Linked DNA regions of Medicago truncatula. The protein of the gene in region 1 binds, or shares a complex with, the protein of each later gene. Links are inferred from orthologs where the notes say so. Each region holds a gene or a part of one and is shown on either strand. Other genes may lie near its edges.

What was found.
Region 2: DNA-directed RNA polymerases IV and V subunit 5B (region 1) and DNA-directed RNA polymerase V subunit 7 share a complex: the UniProt entries of both Arabidopsis thaliana proteins name them as parts of the RNA polymerase V complex. The link is inferred for Medicago truncatula from reciprocal best matches to the Arabidopsis thaliana genes RPB5E and NRPE7.

Annotation. Positions count from the first base shown.
Region 1 is NC_053044.1:5,364,127-5,371,475, reverse strand, and holds the start of DNA-directed RNA polymerases IV and V subunit 5B, read left to right. Parts: upstream 1-4,255; 5' UTR 4,256-4,334; coding exon 4,335-4,592; intron 4,593-6,621; coding exon 6,622-6,798; intron 6,799-7,349. UniProt on the Arabidopsis thaliana protein: DNA-dependent RNA polymerase catalyzes the transcription of DNA into RNA using the four ribonucleoside triphosphates as substrates.
Region 2 is NC_053042.1:37,142,198-37,149,878, reverse strand, and holds the start of DNA-directed RNA polymerase V subunit 7, read left to right. Parts: upstream 1-4,580; 5' UTR 4,581-4,742; intron 4,743-5,850; 5' UTR 5,851-5,894; intron 5,895-7,681. UniProt on the Arabidopsis thaliana protein: DNA-dependent RNA polymerase catalyzes the transcription of DNA into RNA using the four ribonucleoside triphosphates as substrates.

The sequences.
Region 1 (7,349 bases):
CTGATCCTCCGTGCACTGCATAACCCGAAAAATCCTCTCAATCTCCTTAAGCCACGTCTGGGCTCCATCAGGGTCATAACGTCCTTTGAAAGTCGGAGGGTTCTTCTTCATGAACGTCTCCAACATCCTAGCTTCAGCATTCGCACCGGCATTCACGTTAGGTTGTTGTCCCACAGCTTGGGCAACAGCTTGTAGAGCAGCAGCTAACGCAGCATCATTTCTTCCAGCCATTTCCGAGATTCTACAAAAGTAGCAACAACAACATAAGATAGTAATATAAATATTACTAAGACTCGACACGACTCTCTAATTGACCGGACGGACCGACCTGCTCTGATACCAATTGTAACACCCCGTTTTCCCAATATTTAAAATTTCTTTAAAAACATAACATTTATCAGAGTAAACATCAAACAACGGGATATCACATATAACGTAATCCAACAGTTAAATAATAATTTAACCAATATCTTAAACATTTGCAGCGGAGAATCTTAACCATAATTCATGAAACGTTTTGGCACGCAGGCCCAACAAGTATCTCAATAGAGTTAATCAAAACAGTAAATATTCATGGCAGTTCACGTAAGAGAATGTAGCATGTTATAGCATAAAACCCCATCCCGTTACGTATCAGAGCGACCTAGACGACACAGTGAGGCAAGACCACTCACAGAAGCAACTGCACACTAAGCACGATCACCTGCAAGTTACCCATACGAAGGGCAACATTTTCAAGCAGAAGGGGTGAGATTTCATAATAAAATAACATTAATCAATGTAATTGCGAATCATAAATTAACATCATAATCATTCCATTATTAGCTTTGCATAAAGGCTAAACAGTTATCACGTAATCATATATCCAATTCATTACGAACAACGTAACATAATCAATAAACACTTATCACGTAATCACATATTCATTCATTATCAACAAGGCATCTTAATCATGACAATGTGACAATGCTCCTAGACTCCTTATATGCATGTGGTACCAATCGTCATCATAAGTATTAATATACTTTAATCGTGCGGAGGACAAAGCTCCTATAAAACGTGCGGAGGACAAAGCTCCTAATATTCGTTGTGAGGACTAAGCTCAATGATATGCTATGCATGGACACATATGAACAAAACATCGTAATCAACTTATCAACATGCATCCAATAATTTGGAGCTAAACTTCATCATATACATATGCACTTAGTTAAATAACGAAAGCAGCATAAACAAGTCACATAACAAGATGATATCATTATATCAAAGCACATAACTTGTATCATTAACACATCTTCTTATCTTGCATGAATATACAATATAATAGTTCATATTCAATTGATATTAATATAACTTAAACAACTCTACAGTCTGCATTAAACGACATCACTAGGTCTCACTACCAGTTAGGGGTTCACTCTTGATCAACAAGTGCGACACAGATCGCATAAACACATAAACAAGTTCATCCTAGTTGTACTCGCGAGGCGAGAGTACTTACTCGCCATGGCGAGTAACACTCATCTCCCAAACTAAGGTTGTTCTGGGCTCCCTCTGATCCTACATTCATTCCTAATCAATACTAGGTATGTTCAGGTACTCAAAGGCATACAAGATTCAACTAAAAAGGTCGAAACACGAAATATGACATGCACTCTGCCTAAGCTCGCGAGGCGAGGAAGGGTTGCTCGCCATGGCGAGTTGCGCCAAACAACTCGCGAGGCGAAGGGAAGGGGCTCGCGTGGCGAGCGATGAAGTTCATCACTCGCGAGGCGAGGATCATCACTCGCCGTGGCGAGCGATGAACAGAAGCACGGGCAGACTAGGGTTTTTCTCAAAAATTCATCACACAACATGGTTCAAGGCGTGGTTTTGATTCCAGAATTCTTCCTAAACATATTCTAAGGTTAAAGGACGGTTCTTTCATCAATCTAACAAGTTTTACCGTTTGATCATCAATTTTTAGGGTTTTGACCTAATTCCAAAACTTCTCTAAATCAATCCTAACTTTGTCAACTAATCATCAGAATTACAGTAAATAACATTATTGAATTATTAGTCTCACCCTTACCTTGTATGAAGAAATCGCAGCCCTCACTCTAGGTTCCTCTTCTCTTGGCTTTTTCTTCCTTTTCAAAAGTTTTCACGTACAATGAGTTTCTAAAAAATTAGGTCTTCTCCTATTTATACCTCTTTCTAATAACTTATCTTATCTCACTTTCTCCCCCAAAACTATCTAAAATATCAAAACAGCCCTCAACTAAATATTTTATATTATCTTCAAATCTTTATTCTATTTAACAATAAAATAAATCTCATATCATAATCAAATCCTCCAAAACTCATAACTTATCACGTCATCAATCAAATCATCATAAATCATCAAAACATACCAAAATCATGCATATATTATATAATTATAATATAATCACCTAAACTCGATTAAATAAACGATTAAACGAAAGTGGGCGTTACAGGTCCAGCCCTGCATGAGAGAAATAGAAAAATAATCTTAGGATAGTAGAAAAAGAAGAGAAAAAAACTAGGTAATATTCATAGATTCTTATGACAATGAGATACCGATGATGGAGGTGAAATCGATAAAAGGAAAAGAGAAACTTGAAGAAGATGACACCTCAAAAGATGAGGATGCTAATTTTCAAAAGGTCATTAAAGCCTTAGCAACATTTATAACAAAGACACTAATCAAGGAAATGTTTAAGCAAAGTCCGTGTTGTGTTAATTTTCTTCAAGACATTAAGAAGGCGACAACCAAACAATGAGATGAAGAATTTGTCTCTATAACAAAAAATTGTTGTGATATTATTGAAATACAGGTCCCACAAAAAGCTTGAAGACCCATGAAGCTTCAATGTTCCTATGATTATGTCCAATGATTATAGGAATTAATCTCTCAACGATGCATATGAGCACTTTAAGTTACTACACAAAAGGAGCTTATATCATGTAATTGATGAACACAATCAAATACATATTTTCACACAAGGACTCGAGGGCCAAACACAATGTTTTTGGATGCCTCAGCTAGACGCCATATGAAGACCAAGTACGAAGAAGTCAAAGACCTAGTTGAAAATATGTCACATAATGAGTATATGAATATGCGAGTAATAGTACAACACACACAAATCAACGCATTGTTTGGTTCAACTTTTGAAAATCAATTATCACCTTCAAAAACAATTCTCTTTTGAGGTTAGGATTCATAGCTTTTGAGTTAGCTAAAATTAATTCTACATTAAACCACCATTACTTTTATTCATTGTCCTCTTTAATTGTCATCTCTTTCTTTCAACCTTTTTTCTTACCGTATCCATTATAGTAATCTTACATTCAAAAGTAATTTTGATCAAAATTATTCAAACAACATTCATTTTGTTTAATCAAATCTACATTATTATATCCAAACATAAATCAATTCTACTAAACTCAATTGTGACAAAATCAATTCCGTCAGAATCAATTATACCTGACTCAATTCTCTACACACACTCAAAGACCAAAGTAGGGTTGGCGAAAAAATCCATGCACGCGGGTATTTGTGGTTAAAATCCGTAATGGGCACGAGGCGGGTAGCTAAACGTGAACCAGCAGATATAATAAACGAGTATTTAACTACCCGTTACTTTATGGACACGAACACGGATTTGATGATACCCGTGTCCGCATGTATTTGTACCCGTTAATAAATTAAGTAAATTACTAAAATATCCATCTGTGCGTGTCTATATATATTGACAAAAGCGGTGAATGACATTGTTAGTGAATGTTATAAGATTTTATTTCAAATATCATTGTTATGTCGATTTATTTGGAGGTTTCTATGCTTTTATTTCATGAAGATTTTAGATATTTGAATTTTATTCCAACCGTCGCTTTTTGAATTATGGTATGAATTATATAATTTGAATAAAACATGTTATATATGGATGTTTAAAAGTCGAAGTTTATTGGTAATTAAAAAAGTATTTTCATTGCACAAAACAAAATAAAAAATTCATAAGTACCCGCGAATATTCGTGGGTATCTAAATGCATATGAATTATCCACACCAGCACATATATATATATATAGGAGCAGACACGGTTATCATATTTATCCAAAGAGGCGGGACGGATATCATGTTACTAGTACCGAATACCCATTGACATCAATAGACCAAAGTCATTATTACACTTTTTTATTTTTTAAATATTTTGTGAAAACGACAAAAAAGATCGTAACGGAAATTAGTGTTACATATACTCCTTCTCTACTAAGTTTCCTACTCAACAAAAAAAAAACTGCAACATTTTTTTTTTGTTTTGGTGAAAATGGCGATGATTGAAAACGGAAACGAAACAAGAAGCGAATGTTTGGTTCGTATATGCAATGAAGAAAGCAACATTGAAACCATTCGTTACTTCGAATGCAGAAAGACTCTGATGGATATGCTTCATGATAGAGGCTACAATGTCTCTGAATCTGATCTCACTCTTTCTCTTTCTGAGTTTCGTTCACGTTTTGGTGAATTTCCTAAACCTCATACCCTTGGTGTTTCTGTTTCTCTTCGCTCTAACCCCTCCATCAAGGTATTATTCAATGTTACTGATTTTCTCAGGTTTATTCACGAAACTATTTCAATGTTTTGTTGCATTTCGTTTCCATTATTATGTGATGTTGAATGTGTAATTGATTTTTTTGTATAGTGAGGCGAAATTAGTGTTACATTAGGGCATGTTTTTTCATTAAAAACCATTACTTTAAAACTTTCATATGATTTTTTTAAAGACAAATGTAATTAGTTGTTAAATTAGTTTTTAGTTGAGCTATACAACCCCTAAAAACTTTGATATTTTGGTTAAAGTTTTTTTTTTAATTTTTTTTATGGGCTTTTGAAAGGAAAAAATAATCTAAAAATTGCAAAATGGAAAGCTATAGTGAGTAGCTTGTCTTCAAAATCTTTTTTTACATATGATTATTTTAAAAATGAAAATATGCGTATAATATATGCAAGGTCAGGGTTTAAACCTTGACCATCACCAAGAATTACTTTTTTATTTCTTAAAAAATCTCTAAAAAAATTTTTGTAAATAGTGACCATAATTTCACGTTTAACATCGTGTGTAATCTCGAGCTCGAACCAGTCATGCATATTTCATTGTCAACTGAGCTATGTTCATGACACTTAAAAAAACATAAATTATTGAATGACAAAATAAATATTTTATTAGATTTAACAAACAGGCCCTTAGTGTTTTTTAGTAGAATTCATTTATCCAAAAGTGATTCTGATTCGAAACTGAAATTTAGTTTTTGGAATTGATTTTGAATCTGACAAGTGTGATTTTGAATCCTTCATATGTGATTTGTTGTTTGGATGGATGAGTTGATTGAAATGGAGAAGATGGAAGGTTTTTTTTTTGTATTTGTTTAATTTTGATTTGATTTTGAATATCTTTTAGAAAATGAATGTTTTTACATGATTCAATTTTATAACATTGTTTCTGTATGGCGCTGTATTGGTATTTTAATGGGAATAAGGAGGTTTTTGAGGTACTTTTTGAAACATATGAAGGTCTCAGTGGCAGAGCATGTCTTTTTTTGCATATGAGTGATGCCTATTTTTGTTGCTCTCAAACTTACATGGATCGTTATGTATTTGGATACTCTCACAATCTTAATATGCTTCTGGTTGGTTTCATTATTTTAATTGGTTTTGTTTTGTATCATACTGAACATGAATACTATAGTAATTTTGAAGGTCTAAAGAGCAATAGTTTTTATGTTATTGCTCTTCCAATTGATTATTCATAAGGAAAAAGTCACCATATTTTCATATGTGATTTCTCTCCATTTTGCTGCAAAAGTCATTCTCTGTTTTTGGCTAATAATTGATGAAAAATACAAAACAACAAGAATATTTTTCGCAAAATGTTTTCACATGCTAGCAAACGATTGAATGAGAGTGCATACTAACAGTATGTACTGATTCACTCCATCCAAGACCCAAAACTAACCTTAACTGTGGTGAAATTTTGGGAATGTTTTTGCTTTATATATAGATAGTCATTTTTAACTTTAGAATTTGAGTTGAGACAACTCCACAAAACTAGGTTGTAAGACGAGGGATGTTCACCACTTATAACAATATTTAGGCCAAATTAGGATCAATAACTTTTGGTCCAACAAATCTAGAATAGACTCTGATACCGGCTTAGAATTTGGGTCGAGTTTAACTCAACTCAACCTCACAAATCAAACATACACGGAGAGAAATGATGGCAATTTCAATTCAGGTTGTATCACTATCCAATGTGACCCTCAACGGTTTAATAATAACAGAACTGTTATGTGAGAATGAATTATCTTCGAACTGTTATGTAAGGATAAATTATCTTTGAACGGTTATGTGAGTTGTGATTCCTTTCATCAATCTTGGGTGACATAAGATTCCCCCTCATTTGTTCAAGATCAGTTTCATTTTTTGTTCTACGGCCGAATGATTTAACTGTTTGTATGTTTTTAATCCACTGTTACCTAATGCCGTAGAATGAGGGGTGCTTTATACATTCACTTTTGTGATTGCTGTACTGTGGCTCAGGAAATTCTGCTTTGCAGGTACAAGTTGTTTTCCCAGGAACGGATGATATCAGAAAAAGCAACTTGATTGTTATACAAAGCCAGATTGTGGACAAAGAAAGGTTGAGTAGGCTGATACTTGTTATGCAAAGTAAGATGACTTCATATGCTCGTAAAGAATTGGAAAACTGTCCATTTAAAGTTGAGATCATACAAGTAAGTTAGCCCTTTCATGAATGTTTAATTTTTTATTCTAAGTTTAAATATTTTGGTGCAGAAAATAATTAACCTTTTTTATTGTTTTAGTTGTTCTTGTAAACTATGCATAATATGTTAAGGAACTAGGAATATATGTAAGCCCTCTATTCTGGAAAGGTAAAATGGATACATGAAATGACTTGAGCTTATGCATTTTAATCACGTATGAGAACTGTATTTAGCTGTTTTAGCGCACAATCGCACATTATCTATAAGATGACTTTAATTTTTTCCCCTGTAACCACAAGTTCAGACCAGAGGCTTATTCATCAATATCTTTTGCAGTTTTGTTTTAGTGTTTACTAGATATATTAGGAAGCTTCATCATGTTGATGCAACACTATATGTCACACATTTCATTTTAGATGAAGAAAACATTGAAAGGGTCTAAAGATATTTTCATTTATAATGCGATTTGATTTTGAATTTAAGATTTGTGTAAACGAAATCAGCAATTGGTTCCACTTAAGAGTTCCGACCACTTTTAGTTTGAAATGGTTTTTTAAGTC
Region 2 (7,681 bases), on another chromosome or scaffold:
AACTTATTCTGTAAATCAAGGTTAGTTTAGTGAATGATAATTTATCCCGTGTATTTTATTTTATATTTTCTGAAAGTTTAGTCAATGTTCATTTATCCCGTGCATATTAGTTTATGAGGGTTCAATATCATTATAGATTTGAAGTGAGGTGATATTATAAATAGCATGAACGTTTTAGCAAGACCATTCTTTTATAAATAACAATTGGTTATGTGTATAAAAGTTAGTTAGTCAACGACAACTTATTTTGTACATTTATTAATTAATTGTAAATTTCTTTTTATGATAGTTTTTAAAATTTCCGCCACACCACACGCACTACTACGAGTCTGTTTGGTTAACCCCAAAAAAGAGCTTTTAGCTTTTAACTTATAGCTTATAAGCTCGTTTGACAAAAAAAGCTCTGTTTGGTAACACTTTTTCACCATGAGCTTATAGCTTATTTCACGAGCTTATAAGCTATTTTTCAGAAGCTATTCCAAGTAGCGTTTGAGCTTATAGCTTATAGCTTCTCACTTTTTCTTCCAATTTTACCCTTATTATTTCATTTAAATTGTATTTTTATCCATTATAATTTCTATAATAAGCTAAGTAATAAAGACTACTACCCCTTTATTCCAATTTTTGTATATATATCAGCAGGTTTTTTTTTTTTTTTTTTTTTTTTTGAAAATATATATACCTTCGTTTTTTTTTTACGAAACAAAATACTATTATTCTATTAGTGTTACTTTTTTTTTTTTTTTGAGGTAAGTGTTATTTTCTTTATTCTCTGTTATTAGTATTACTCTATTAGTGCTACCTTTTTTTTGTTTTTGAGGTAAATGTTATTTTTTTTTATAAAGTGGAAACACTTAAATGATAATAAATATAAGATAAAATTTTAGTGAATAAAATTTAATTTAATTTATAATACATAGGATATATTAAATTAATAAATTTAAAGTATTTTTTTAAAGAAAAGTTAGTTTATAAAATTACAAATACTTAAATTAATGATATAATTTTTATTATGAATTAAGAATACCCTTTATGTCATTTTACATTTATCAGCTAGTTGAACCGCTATTTTTACAAAACACTTCAGTTAGCTTATCAACTAAAAGCTATAAGCTATCAGCTAGTTTATCAGCTATCCGCTATTTTTACCAAACAGAGTCTACCACACTTCAACTCTATACACATTATCACTCTCTTTCTATTATTCACTTTCCGAAATCCTCACACGTCTCACATATCAATGACATTTTGACTATATATATTACGGCTTGTACTGTGCATAATAATTATTTTTAATTTTTACCATGGACAATTCTACCTATGTATAATATTTATTTAAAAATTTGTATCCCTGACGACTTGTCCTATATAGAATAGTTAGTTTAAAATTTGTATAATTGTTGACTTGTATTGTACGTTATAATTATTTTAATTTTATGTTATTGACAACATCTCATGTGTATAATAATAAATTTTTAAATTTTCAACAGTGACATTGTCTATAATCCTTAAAAAAAAACTTATATCGTCTATAACAATTATGCTAAAAAATTTATCAGTGTCGATTTGACCTGTGTCAAATAATTATTAAATTTGAACATTGAACACTTATCAAGTGTGAAATAAAGATTTTTAAAATTTATATCAACGTCGATTTGTCTTTTGTGTTATAACTATTTTATTTTATTTTATCAAAAACAACCTGGCTCATGTATAATAATTATTTTATAATATGTAGCTTAGTATTTATTTTGCACATCTAATCAATACAATCTCGTGTATGTGTTTAACGGTGATGATAATTATTTCTATATTTTTATTTGTGTCGACTTGTCCATTATATAATAATTATTTTAAATTTTTAACAATGACAACTTCTTCTATGTATAATATTTGTTTTAAAAATTTGTGAGACTGACGACTTGTCCAATGTATAATAATCATTTTAAAATTATATTATTGGTGAATAGTCACATGTATGACCATAGTTTTAAATTTTTTATCAATAACTAACATGAGCAAAAATATTGGTGAATAGTCACATGTATAACCATAGTTTTAGTATTATTATTTTTTTTTTGAGAAAAATAATTTTGAAATTTAAATAGTTAAATATATTATTTTTTATAATTTTAATATTTTTAAATAGTTAAATATATAATAAAAATTAATTGAGTGGTATTAATTTTGAAAGAGAAGATAACAGTTTCTCTCTCTCCCGTATACCATATATTTGAAAGGGAATTTTTATTTATTTTTTTGTCAAAATTTTAAAAGGAACTTTCAAAAAAAATATTGAGATAAAAAAGTTTTGTTTTTAAATGAGTTAAAAGAAAATAGGACGAGCTTCTTTAAATTTCGACCCATTAATAGCCAATAGCCCAAATTATAACACTAGAATAAAGAAAATCATAAACCAAATATTCATTTCAGCTTCTCATTCTCTCTCTCACATTCAAGTGTTCTCCACCCGCATTAGAAACCCTAGCAGCTGCCACTCTATTTCTGGCGACTAACCACTCCGACCAGCCTTCTTTTTCCAAACGAAATGCATACTATTGAAGCTCTCTTTCTCTTTTCTTTTTTTTTGGTCAAGTAGCCTAGTGGCTATAGCTCACACAACTTATTTGTGGAGAAGTGGGGTGTCCGGGGTTCGAACCCCGGCCCCTGCATATAATATGCAATATCCCTACCAACTGAGCTAAGCTCACGGGGATTATCTTTTTATATATATATATATATATCAGTGATGACATGTCACATGGTTAATAAATATCTTAAAATTCATATCGGCTAAAACTTGTCTCTTTGTGTTATAATTATTTTGAATTTGTATTCAATGATAACAAATGATGTGTATAATTCTATTATTTTTTTAAGTTAGTTTTTCACTTACGTTATGGTTTGAATAAAAAGGAGAATAATATTTTTTTGAAGGAATGAGAATAATGTTTAATAATATATATTAGTGTATCCCTTGTCTCGTGTATAATAATTATTTTATAATATATATCAGTGATGACAAATCATATGTTCAATACTTATGTCCTCGTGAGCTTAGCTCAATTGGTTTGGATAATGCATAATATATCCAAGGTCTGGGGTTCAAACTCCGACCACTACCAAAATATGTTCAATACTTATTTTAAAATTTATATCAGCATGTCTTGTTTATAATAATTTTTAAAAATTTTGCGAAGTGACAACTTGTCTCGTTTACAACAATTATTTTAAAATTCTGAAGTGATGAGTTGACCCTTGTATAATATATTTTATCAATCTTTTTTAAAACTTGTCTTTTAAACTATTTATACATCGTCTCTTACTGCCTCACTTCAAATCTATACACATCACTCCTCTTCTACTACTCTCTTTGGTATGTTGTACGTATCAAACGATCAATGTTTTACCGTTATTTTTATGTAACAATGAAATATATTTACCTTATGTTTTTATGAATATAAAAAAAATTAAATTTTAATATTCATTAATTAATGTAACAACACGTCTTTAGATCTTGTAAAAAAACACGTCGTTGGATATATATATATATATATATGTGTGTGTGTGTGTGTGTGTGTAAAATAACATTTATTAAATTATATTTTTAGAGGTTAAATAAACTACTACTATTTTTTTATTATTTGATAAAGAAATTAATATTATTATTATTATTTTTTATATATTTTTTAAAGAATTTATTTATTTATATTTTTATTATGTTACACTAATTTTGCAATAAAAAAAGTCTATACCCCTTTACCTCTTTCTATCTCGAGAATTGCTGTTCCCACATTACATAAGACTGTGCCACACGAGTAAATGACATTTTTACCCCTGCGGCAGTTAATTACCGAAGTTTGGAACCGGCTGCAGTTAACTACCGAAGTTCCTTCGGCAGTTAACTGCCGACGAAAAAAGTTAAAAAAAAATAATAATAAAAAACCTCGGCATTTTAGTGGCACTTTACTGCCGAGGAATTCATCAATTTTTTTTTTTTTTTTTTAAAACAAGGATCTACAATCTGTAGATTACAAAAGCAATATCAGCACAATAAAAATTTGATATTTTTTCTTTTTTAAAATTACAAAGCTATTTAGTACATGGAAATGTATCCAAAGAATCATCCCACCTTTCCACGGCCTTCAATCAACTTGACATTAAAATTTTTCAAAATATTCTTGTAGATGCCACTAAGCCTCAGCATTTTTATTTGCAAAGTGATGGATCTGTCAGAATTTTCATACATCAAAGTTAAATATAAGTCCGAAAGCTATCCCATGCCCATACCAATTAAACAAAATGAAAAAGGAAAAAAAAATAATTATGAGTTCCTCGGCAGTAAAGTGCCGAGGTTTTTTTTTTTCGTCGGCAGTTAACTGCCGTAGTTCGGCAGTTAACTACAGCCGGTTCCAAACTTCGGTAGGTAACTGCCGCAGAGGCATTTTCGTCTTTTACATGTGTTTTTCAGCCCTATCATATGTGTAAACAGCAACTCTCTTCTATCTCGTACAAACCTAGTGTATTTTTTTATAATTTTCTTTTTATTTTATTTTTTGTCATTTAACTTTATTCCACACACACCATATTTATTTCAAAGTTAATTTTCTCTCTCTTGACCAAAGAAATCTGGAAAACTCTCTCATTCTCAAACAAACCCTAGCCGCCGACTCCTCCCTCCTTCAGTGTGTCTCCGGCGGTCGTTACATTGCTCCACCATCTTCATCCTCTCCTTTTCATCTGTAATTATACTCTATCAAATTTATTTCAAGTCAAAATATTGATTGTGGTGGCATTAGTTTCCTACCAACAAAATTGCTCTGTTCATTCGTTGGTTTAATTATTAGCATCTAATGTATACTTTGTATTTAAGAAGTTTATGTGCCTTCGTAATTATGTATATATACTGAGACTCCAGTTTTCTGATTCCTCTCAACAGTAGTTGATAATTTTCTGTTTTGCGTATCACATTGTTTCACTTTTTCTCTGTTTTGCATGCTTAACGATACTTCACTTTTAGGGTTCTATCACTATACCCGAATTTCACTTGCTTTGTTTCTCTTATCAATATATTAATGTGCATGGCTTTCTCTTGTTTTCTTTAAATTTTCTGTTAACTATGTGTTTGTATAAAAATCTTAAAATTTAACCTTTGTCTAACTTCTTCCCCATTGAGTATGGGGTTTGTGTGTAAAATCAGTTTCTGGAGAAAAAAACACTGTAATCCATAGGTTTTTCTTAACTTTTTGCATGAGTTTTCAGCTGCCTCATGCATTTTATCGTGTATTGGTGATACTACAATTTATGTTCATGATGTGGCTACAACCACTGAATATGGTCATTGTTTTAAGTCCTTGTTTGGATAAACAGCTTATTTACCGTCTATAGTAAGAGCATCATGATAAGTGCTTATTGATATGACTAAAGATAAAATAAAGTTAATTTATTTTCGTATAAGCTGTAAGCTGTTTTCATAAGCTATCTGAGACAACTTATGGAAGTAAGCTGAAAACACAAAACAGCTTATGAACAATGTCATAAGTTCTCCCAAACAGTCTCACAAAACTTATGTCAGTAGATAAGCTCAAATAAGTCGATCTAAACAGACGGTTTTCTTTTTTAACCTAGCTACCACTACTACTGCACTGCTAGTTACTACATGTTAAATGATCTGGGAATTTATATTTTCTGAATTTTGTCGAATCTGGTTTCGCATTTCAGGCATAAAATTTGTATGATTACTTTATAATTCAAAGGGTCTGAATACGTTCTTGGTTTATGTAGTTAGTAGGACAATGTGTATCTTTATTTGAAAAGCTTACGGATCCCCATGTTTGAATATCTTTGCAGCCACGATCTCCCTCCTCGAGTTTCTTGCTGCACTTCTTCACTCGGTTAGTTTTTTTTATCCCTCTCAGCAATATTTGGTATCTTTTTTTTTTCTTCCGTCATCACATTGTTTCAAACACTTAACGATACTACCCCCTTAAGGGTTCTATCACTTGCAAACAAATACGAATTTGACTTATTTTGTTTCTCTTACCAATATATCAATGTGCATGGCTTTATTGTTTAGTTTTTTTGTTTTCTTTCAATTTTCCGTTAAGTATGTGTTTGTAAAGAAATCTTAATATAACCTTTGTCTAAATTCTTCTCATTGAATATGGGGTTTGTTTGTAAAATCAGTTGCTGGAGAAAGAAAAAAAATTGCAATCCTTGGATTTTGTATTTTCTATAGCCAAATCATGCACGAAAATTGCAGTGTCGCCATCTAAGATAAAATGCTTATGGAAGTTGAAAACTTCGGCTCGTTTGCTTTGTAAAAACATTTTCTATTCCCATTTCGATATGTATTTTATCTTTAGAAAGGTGACACTACAATTTATGTGCATGATTTGGTTATAGCCACTGAATATGGTCGAAGTATTTGTTAGCTAGCTATCACTTCTACTGCTCTAGTGCACCGGGTTGCCCTTTTTTTTATCACTTCTACTGCTCTCTTAGTTACATGTTAACTACTGATATGAGAATTTATATTTTCTGAATTCTGACGAATTTGGGTTTGCATTTTTAAGCATAAAATTCGTATGAATATATTACAATTCAAAGGGTCTTAATTAGGAAAGACTTTTTATATGTTCTAGGTTTATGTAGTAAGTAGGGACATTTGTTTTTTATTTCAAAAGACGTGAACTTGAAAAGCTTATGTATAATGTGTTTAGATGATTTCTACAATCATAACTCCATCTCCTGGTAAAATATTGATTGTGGTGACATTAGTTTCCTTTCCTACCAGCAAAGTCACTTTTGCTATTCATTATTGGTGATTCCAAGTAAACTACAATTTGCATATGATTTGTCAGCTGCCTTATGCATTTTATCTTGGATTGGTGATACATGAAGCACATATACTCCTCGGATTAGGCGTGTCACGGTGTCGGATATGTATCGTGTCTGACACCAAAACATATGATTACATTGATTTATGTCATTTTTTAAAATTATTATCGGTGTCAACATCACCGTGTCATGTCCGTGTTTGAGTCTGTACTTCATATACTACAATTTATGTTCATGATTTGACTGTGGCCTCTGAATATGGTCATCATTGAAATCTTTTTTAACTAGCTATCGCTTCTACTGCAGCTGCACTGTTAGTTACTACATGTTAACTGATCTGAAAATTTATATTTTCTGAATTTTGTCGGATTTGGTTTTATACTTTTAAGCATAAAATTTGTATGGTATTTTTATAATTCAAGGAGTCTGAAATAGGATTTTTTTTTTTTTATATGTTCTTGGTTTATGTAGTAAGTATGAAAATGTGTATCTTTATTTGAAAAGCAGTGAACTTGAAAAGCTTATGTATATCTGTGTTTTGAATAGTTTCGACATTCATAACACTATGATCTCCCAGCATAATATTGGTTGTGGTGACATTAGTTTCCTAGCAACAATTCAATTTTGCCATTCATCGGTTTAGCCATTACCATCTATCTACTGTATACTTTATATTTAGAGAATTTCTGTAACTTTGTTATTATGTATATATACTGATGCTCTAGTATAATTTGGCTACAACCACTGAATATGGCCATTATTTAAGTCTTTTAACTAGCTGTCATCTCTACCATGTTAATTGTTAACAGATCTGAGAATTTATATATTTCCTTAACTTTGT